Callithrix jacchus: one gene and its partner. The protein of the gene in region 2 interacts with the protein of the main gene of each other region in a pairwise test. Links are inferred from orthologs where the notes say so. Each region holds a gene or a part of one and is shown on either strand. Other genes may lie near its edges.

Region 1 (4,187 bases), on a different chromosome or scaffold from region 2:
TACAATTGATTGTAGGTTCTCATGTGATTGCATAAGGATTTATGTTCACCCAGATCATAGATCAGGAGAGTGGTGGAAAAGGAAATCAAGTTTGTGCGATGGAGAAGATCCCTCTGCTTATAGAAATGATCACTTCATTACAGTCCTAGACGTGTGTGGCTCATGTCTCCATTCCCTTTTAAACCTTACTGAAAGCACACGAGATGATTATACACTTAAAGAGGTACAAAGTGTACATCAAAGGAACCATGTTCAGGAATGCTTACTATGTGCAAAGTATTGCTCTTTGGTGTAGTGGTTGTGATTTCTTGGGAGCTAAAATAATAGACTAGCCAAAATCTTTAAGATGCTTTAATGCTCAATAATAGTATGTATATAATTAAGATATAAAATAATTTGAGCATAGTGGAATCTAGCTATGGTTCAGCCTTTGTTTGATTTCTAGTGTGTGTGTGTGTGTGTGTGTGTGTGTGTTTAATAGGCTGACTTGATTCTCTTTCTTCCTGATACAACATGGTAATTGGCTCCCTACATGTATGGGGATTTGGATACATAATTTTCATAAGCATTTGAAGCCTCTTCCTTTAGTAGATTTTGAATTCCACCCTTGATTTTAAAGTTTTTGAAATAAGGTAGCCACTTTCCCTTTCTTGGCAGAAAGAAGATGTAGAATAAATAACTTTTGCTAAGATGCTTTCAGGACATGAATCTGAGTAACTCTCTTAAGGCGCAGACCCTCAAATTTTATAATTAGTCTTTTTCTCAAGATGAAAGTCAACCTGTTCTTCTCTTTATTCTGTTCTCATTAAAATGTTCTTCTCTGGGCAGTGATTATATTTTCAGAAAGGCTTAAGTGAGCCAGCATTAAAATTTGCTCTAAATTTTTACAAATACAAAGAAACCTGCTGAGAATTGGATACTGTATTCACTGTGGTTCTCTCTCTGTCTGCTGGGTAATATTTTCTCCTACACTTGCTGGGTAAGTGTAGGAGAAAGCAGTGATTTAGGTGATGACTTTGTTCTGGAAAAGAAGCTACTTTCTACAGAATGAGGATTTCAAATGGCCGCATTGCCAAGCAGACACTCATGCTGGTTTCCTGTGGGCCATTTTCCTTTTGCCGAACCTGACCCAAAGCCAAAGGGAAGGAGGAGAAATTTTCCTTCCACAAAGTCTCAGATCTCTGATAAAGATCACGATAATATAAATAAGTTATAAAATTCAGGCTACTATAAGCTTGAGGAATTTCATTAACTTGCATTTGATAGACTTAATATAATTTGGTTTGGAAATTAAGGGAAAAAGTAAGAATCAAAATGGAAAAATTTAGGGAACGCTATCACCCACTTCAATTAAGATATTGTAGTCACAACCTAATTCTTTCAGAGGACCTTTAATGTTTTGAACTTTAGAACATTCAAAACATTAAAGGTCCTCTGAAAGAATTAGGTTGTGACTACAATATCTTAATTGTCATGCTTTAAAATATTGTATGTGCATTTTATCCTTCAGGACATACTTTAAAATGATTCAGATTTTATTTGTGTTTTTAATTTTAAAAACATGTTAATGAAACATTTTTCTTTTAAGATACAGATTACCTAATAGATATTTAAAACCTTTTAAAAACTTTCCCCCAATCTACAACCCCAGGAAAATAAAACTATAGTATTACAGCACCAATTGTTATAGAAAAATGAGTGTTTTATTAATCTTAACATTTCATTTATAATGGCATGGAGTGAATATAAGAGTGGCAAGAACATTCCTTTCACTGTGTATCTAGTGGTGATTCTTTTTTTTGGCAGAAAAGAATTGTGATGGAATTACACTGCATTTAAAAATGTTCACAAGAAAAAGTTAATGAATCTTGAGGCAAATGTGGAGTAAAATCTCTGGCCCCCAAATCTAGAGGGCACGTCAGAGTATTTTCCTGGCATTACCCTTTTGCTTTAAGGGGGAAAAAGTGTTACCCTACAAATTGATGCACAAATTGTTCTACCAACAATTTCAGCCAAGTCCTTGGTTGTATGCTACGCTAAGCTCCCTGGTTACTGCCAGGCCCGCACCCAATACTGACATTAGAAATGAGCCAGGACCCTCTGAAGTTAAGGTATCACCCCCCGCATCATTGGTCTGGATGCACAGTTTCCCAGTTTTTCTTACCTGCGTAGTGGTCAAACACAGTGGGCACGTATTCCTCCGGGAAGGCGTCGTTGGCGTAGCTCATCAGCAAGCAGGTTTTCCCCACGGCACCGTCCCCCACCACCACACACTTCAACATCTTCTTCTCCTCGTTGCCCCTGCAGCCGCAGCTGCTGTCAGTTCCCTCTTTGCAGTTCATTCTTGCGGCTCCAGCTGCTAGGGACTCCTGCTGCTGCTCCCGCTTCTCCCAAAGCACATGAAACGGCGGAAAGCCAGTGCCAGGCTTGAGTTTACTCTGACTGACTTTGGGAACCTTGGCTCATACAGACATGTCCGAGGCTGGGATATACCCTGTTGCTTACCATGCTGGTAAGGAAAGGTAACTCACACTTGGAGGAGTTGTGAAAAGGATCTGCCCCTTTCCGCTATCAGTGTGAGTTAAGAAACCTTCAATTTCACAGAATTCGGGGGGCTTCTTAACAGCCTAAAAATTTCAGCAGCCTGAGAGTTTTGCTCTGTTCTTCCTATCTCCAGTCTGGCAAAAGACACAGTGAAATTTTGCTAAATCGTCCTCATTTTCCAAGTCACATCTAACATGGAGGAAAGCTGGGCTTTTTAATGGAGTTTTTTCCCCTTGCTTCCTCCAGCTTGCCGAGTGTCAGGAAATCATGGGTTTCCTGCTGCATTCCATATTAGGATCAGTGGGCTGAGGAAGGCTGCAACAATGGGAGCTCTGTGTGTGTGTGTTTGTACTTCTGGGGAACGATGCCAGGACATGGAGTGGGAAAACACTAGGGGTCCCACTGCAGACTCAAGCTGTCAGACTTCCTGTTTCATCCGCTGCTTGTGAGGCTGTGTGCTCCTGGCTGGCTGGGAAGAAACTGACTAGAAGATGGAAACCGGGGATGACTGCCTGCCACAGAAACAGGGGGAATGGTTAGAGTGAGCAGAGAGAACCACACCAGTGGTCCTAGGATAACACATGACATCACCCCTCACTGAGTCACCAGTTGAAAGCTCTGCAAACTAAAAACGAGCAGTTCTTTACTGACTTAAATGAGAAACTTTAAGTGACTTTCCCAGAAATAAAGAAGAAAACCTTCTAGAGTCATCTCATTTCAAAGGGAAAAATTTTTGTAGGTTGTAGGTATAATATGATCAGGTTTATAAACTGCCACATGTCTGGAATATGTATTCCACACACAAACTTTTTTTTTTTTATGATCATAGCACATGAGAAATCAATCAGATGTGGGACATTTGCATATTCTTATTAGTGGATAAACACATGTGTGCTTGACTCATATGTAACACCCTTGGACACAGCAGATACAGGATGGCTTTTTGGTTGGTTTAAGGCCCTCGATGCTGTTTTTGCTTGGACATTTTGCTTTTTGATTTAGTGTCCCCTTGGGTCAGACTGGTCCTCTTCAATTACAAAGGAGCCATGGGCAGCTAATTTATTTGACTGTTTGGTCACTCAAAATGAAGCCTCTTTGACACTCTGTATTTGATTAATGTGCTTGGTCTGAGAAAAGAGTGGAACTCTGCAAGTGATTTTTGACAAATGGGTCAAAATGAGGAAATTTGTTTTTTTTTTCTTTCATTTTTTGAACATTGATTTTGAAGAATTCACATTATCCAATTGTTTGAGAAGTTTTTTTTTTTCCTTTTATTGGGTGAGGGGTGAGATGGGAGAAAAGTCTGTTTTACTAAGTGGCTATTAATAATAGATATACCCACATATCATTTATATGCTGCCATATAAATATATATGGTATAGTATATAGTATAGTCTCACGTTTCTACTGTTTTAAATTATAGTAACATTTATCATAGTGCTTAGTGTCCAAGCCTTTCTTTCCTATAAAGGGATGGCATTTCAGACAGGTTATGATGTATCAGTCAGGTTATATTGCAGTAACAATCTCCAAAGCTAAATGAATTAAAATAATATATATATTTCTTGCTCACATTGTATCTTTATTGTATATTGTTATCATCTTTATTCAGGGATCTAGGCTGATAGAGCAGTCATATTGAG
Region 2 (4,227 bases):
GCTGTTGCTTTTTCTAAGTGTCTTTAGAAAATATGCTTGCTTCTTTTTATGTTATCTTACAATGTGTTAGTCTAAATCATTACCATTTTCTGTTATCTGAATCTCTGAGAGAACATTAACTTGTTTTCTTATTTCCACTCCTACCCCTTTCTCCACTAAACAGCCAGTGATCTTTTAAAATATGTAAGTTAGAGTTTGTCATTCTGCTTTCAAACCTACCAGAGCCTTCCCACAGCTAAAACTTGTGACAAAAGCCTAACTCCTAGTTATGACCCGAAAGAGACACCACATAATCTGACTTCTGTCAGGTCTCTTAAGAGCAGGGTTTGGGAGGGGGAGAAGTGGGGTAATACTGCCTCCTAGGGAGCATTTGCAAATGCGTGAAGGTGTGTTTTATTGTTTCAGTAATTGGGCGGCACTACTAGAGGCACTACTAGTCTGGACCATGTTGGTTTCTATACTGTGTTGTTCAGCTCAGGTTCCTTCACAACGCCTGATACACAAAAACACAATAGTTGGTTAAAAAATACTTATTGTATGAGCCCACATTTTCCCTGGACCTCTGTTTTGACATATATGAATTGGTATAGTGCCTACCTCATAAGGTTGTTTTGAGAGAGACATAGAATTTATAAAGTACCTGGTACACAATAGTTCTTAATAAATGATAGCAGTGGCCAGATGTGGTGGCTCACGCCTGTAGTCCATAGTTTGGGAGGGCGAGACAGGAGGATTGCTTGAGAACAGGAGTTTGAGACCAGCCTGGGCAACATGACAGACCCTATCTGTACAAAAAAAATACAAAAATAACCAGGTGTGGTGGTGGGCACCTATAGTCCCAGCTACTTGGGAGGCTGAGGCAGGAGGATCATCTGAGCCCAGGGAGTTCGAGGCTGCAGTAAGCCAAGATCCAGCCACTGCACTGGAGCCTGGGTACACAGCAAGACTGTCTCAAAATAATGATGATGATGATGATGATGATGATGATGAGGTAGTAGCTGCTAAGCTTTCATTGCTTAGAAGCAGCTACAAGGGCCCACCTAGCTCTTCCTGGAGCATTAGAATTAGAACCTGGCACGTTGGGGGAGGGAGGAAGTGTATCTCTTTCTCTGAGGCCTAATCTGAATCCTAGGTCTAACCTGAGGAATCCTAGAAGAGACTCCTCTATACTCAGCTGTAGAAACTAAAGCACAGAGGAGCACTGGTTGCATTCCTTGACTCTGGAGCTCACGCAGGACTCTGACAAGCACTGAAAAACCTGGCCTTGGAGAGAAATTACCTCTTGCTGGAGACTGGGTGTGGGAAGATAGCCCTCTCCCCGCCCTTAGCGCTGCTTTGCAGAAGAGGAGAAGCGCGCGCGGCTTCCTCCCGCCTCCTTCCCTCCTTTCTTCCCCCGCCCCTTCTGTTTCACCAACCCCGACGCAGCGCCTTCGCTGCCGCCCTGCGAGGGCGCGAGCGTGCTGCACCTCGGGAGCTGGCGGCTGAGCTGCCAGGAGCCCAGAGCAGCCCAGCCCAGCCGAATTGAGCGGAGCCCTTGGAGACGGGGCCTTGCGGGAACCCGGCTGGGCAGGGAGAGGTGCAGCTCTGCGACAGAAACAATCGCCAGAGATGCCGGGGCCAGCCTTCCCCACCAGGTAATGCTGGCCCTGCGTGGGGCTTGCCTAGATGGGCCGGGTTCTGGAGGAATCTCCGCAGGCCTTCAGAGAGTGGTGACACGGGGTTCAGTAGATTTTGAGGGGTATCTTACTTTCCTCTTACCTTAAGGGACCCTAAATGAGAGAAGGGGCTGAGGGTATGGAACCTTTAGATGAGCCCACCCAGAACTAGGCCTGCACTGGAATCGGAGCTCTGCTCAGGGAAGTGGGTAAAGGGGAAGCTGCGCCTTTGGGGAACTGCTCTGCCTCAGGAACTCTGCTTCTTTGCAAGCCCCCTTCTGCTTGGTGGCCAAGGTGATGTTTTCCTCTATCTTGGCTTGGCAGCTGGCCTGTTGGGACTGTGGGGCTTTTCTCTGTTAAGAGGTTGAGTGAACTGGGAGACAGGAGACCTGGGAGGACTGGTCCTATTCAGACATCTTCAGTTGCCTTATCTGTGCAGTGAAGGACTTGACATTGTTTGTTACTCTGGCTTTCCAAGCCTTCAGACCATCTTTTGGAAAGGTGAGCTGGTTTAAAATGCTAAAATGGGCTGCAGAGATGTTCCCCTCAACACTGCAGAAGAGAGGAGAACTTGGGAAATAGACCATACTGTTTTCCAGCCAGCCTTTTGAATGGCCTCTTGCTGGTTCTTCAGAGGCAAGGCAGAGGCTTGAGAATGCTAATGCTTATTTTAGTGTGGTGTGTAGGTGTGTTAGGTGTAGGGAGGCAGGGTTGGGAAGTAGAAGGTCAAGGTATGTTAATGGTTCTAAACTGGCCAATTTTTCTGTCTTTAGGTATAAAGTTGCTTTAAACTAGACTCTCTTCTCTGGAGCTCCTTCCTTATTCTGCTAAGTTAATGACAGACCTGGCTGTGGTAATATCTTAATCACTATAATTCCTTCCTTCTTTATTATCTGGCACCAAGAAGTTCATGTCAGGCCTGATAATAACCTACTTTAATTATTTTGGAACTCTTTCCTTCCCCCAGTTTTTTGATGACTCTACGTCTTCTTCCTCTCCTCACTCTTCTATTTTCTCCTCCTGATTTTTCCTGTCTTAGCCCTGCCTCCTGCCTACCTTTTCTCCCACCCTCTCTTCACCCTTCCTCCTCCCCTCGTGCTTCCCCTTTCCTATTTCTCCCCCTCTGTAGCCAGTCTTTCCTTCCTTCTCTCGGATCCTCCTCCTCTCGATTAGGCTTTCTTCTCTTTTCTTAAAATTTTTGGTTAAGCTTTCTCATTGTTAGTAGGTTACTGGTTTTTAGGGACCTTCTGCTGTGTTTGTGAGGTCCAAACATTGTTTTCTACCTAACTCACTTGCTTCTAGCTTTTACCTCCAAATTCTATCTTCCCCAAATACCATTCTCTCTCCTTACTGCCTCTATGCTTTGCCTTGGGCCTGCCAACAAGCAATTCTTCTTCCTGCATTTGTTTCCTGTCTTCTTTTCTGGTGGTGGTGGGGCAGCAGGTAGGCAGTAGGTAATAAGCAAGATGGGAAGTGGGGGGCTTGAGTGGGAGGAGAGCAAAAATGTCAAGTAGTGTTGGGCAGAGGTTCAAGTTCCCTTTAGTGAGATGAATGACTGGGAGGACCAGAGACTCTGGCAGCTGTGAGGTAGTGCTGATCTGGAGAAAAGGAGGTAGCCCAGGGAAGAAGAGGGAGGATAGCAGGATAGAGGGACAGGAGGAGGAGGAGGAGGCCTGGGGGAGAAGACAGTGCTCTTTGAAAAAGACGGTAGCCTGGACAAGATAGGGGTTATTTGGGGTCAGGGTATATGTAGAAAGAGAAAGATTATAGTGTGGGGAAGAGGACTATGTAGGTTAATTATCTTCCCCTTTGCTGACCGGCTTTTTGGACTGATTTCTACTCAGCAAATTTTTTTTAGTTAAAAAATGTGAAAGCATTTACCATGTTTATCATGTTTAAGTGTACAGTTCCATTTTAATAAGGACATTTATATCCTTTTCTCCTTCTTCATCCTCACCACTCCCTTTCCTGGCCTTTGGTAACCACCAGTCTACTCTATCATCATGAGATACACTTTTTTACCTTCCATATATGAGTGAGAACATGTGATATTTGTCTTCCTGTACCTGACAAAATGGCCTCCAATGTCATCTATGTTGCTGAAAATGACAGGATTTCATTCTTTTTTTATGACTGAATAATATTCCATTGTGTTACATGTGTAACACACACACACACACACACATTTTCATTTTAGCTTTTATGAATAGTGCCACAGTATTCATGGGAGTGCGTTATCTCCTTCATATATTGATTTCCTTTCTTTTAGATATATACCCAATAGTGGAATTGCTGAATCATATGGTAGTTCTATTTTTAGTTTTTTAGGAACTTCCATACTATTCTCCTTAGTGGCTCTACTAATTCACATTTTCACTGACAGCATATGAGGGTTCTTCTTTCTCTCCATCCTTGCCATCATCTATTATTGCCTATCTTTTTCTTTCTTTTTTTTCAGACAGGGTCTTGCTCTGTTGCCCAGGCTGGAGTGCTATGGCACAATCATAGCCTCCTGCAACTTCAACCTCCCAGGTTCCAGCAGTTCTCCTACCTTAACCTCTCAAGTAGTTGG

The links. The genes of interacting proteins can lie anywhere in the genome.
Region 1: the proteins of PAK1 (region 2) and RHOJ interact in binary tests that used the Homo sapiens proteins (3 or more experiments, as listed by UniProt). The link is inferred for Callithrix jacchus from reciprocal best matches to the Homo sapiens genes PAK1 and RHOJ.

What each region holds. Positions count from the first base shown.
Region 1 is NC_133509.1:97,899,075-97,903,261, reverse strand, and holds the start of RHOJ (rho-related GTP-binding protein RhoJ), read right to left. Parts: upstream 2,812-4,187; 5' UTR 2,343-2,811; coding exon 2,165-2,342; intron 1-2,164.
Region 2 is NC_133511.1:63,525,042-63,529,268, forward strand, and holds the start of PAK1 (serine/threonine-protein kinase PAK 1), read left to right. Parts: upstream 1-1,426; 5' UTR 1,427-1,634; intron 1,635-4,227. UniProt on the Homo sapiens protein: Protein kinase involved in intracellular signaling pathways downstream of integrins and receptor-type kinases that plays an important role in cytoskeleton dynamics, in cell adhesion, migration, proliferation, apoptosis, mitosis, and in vesicle-mediated transport processes.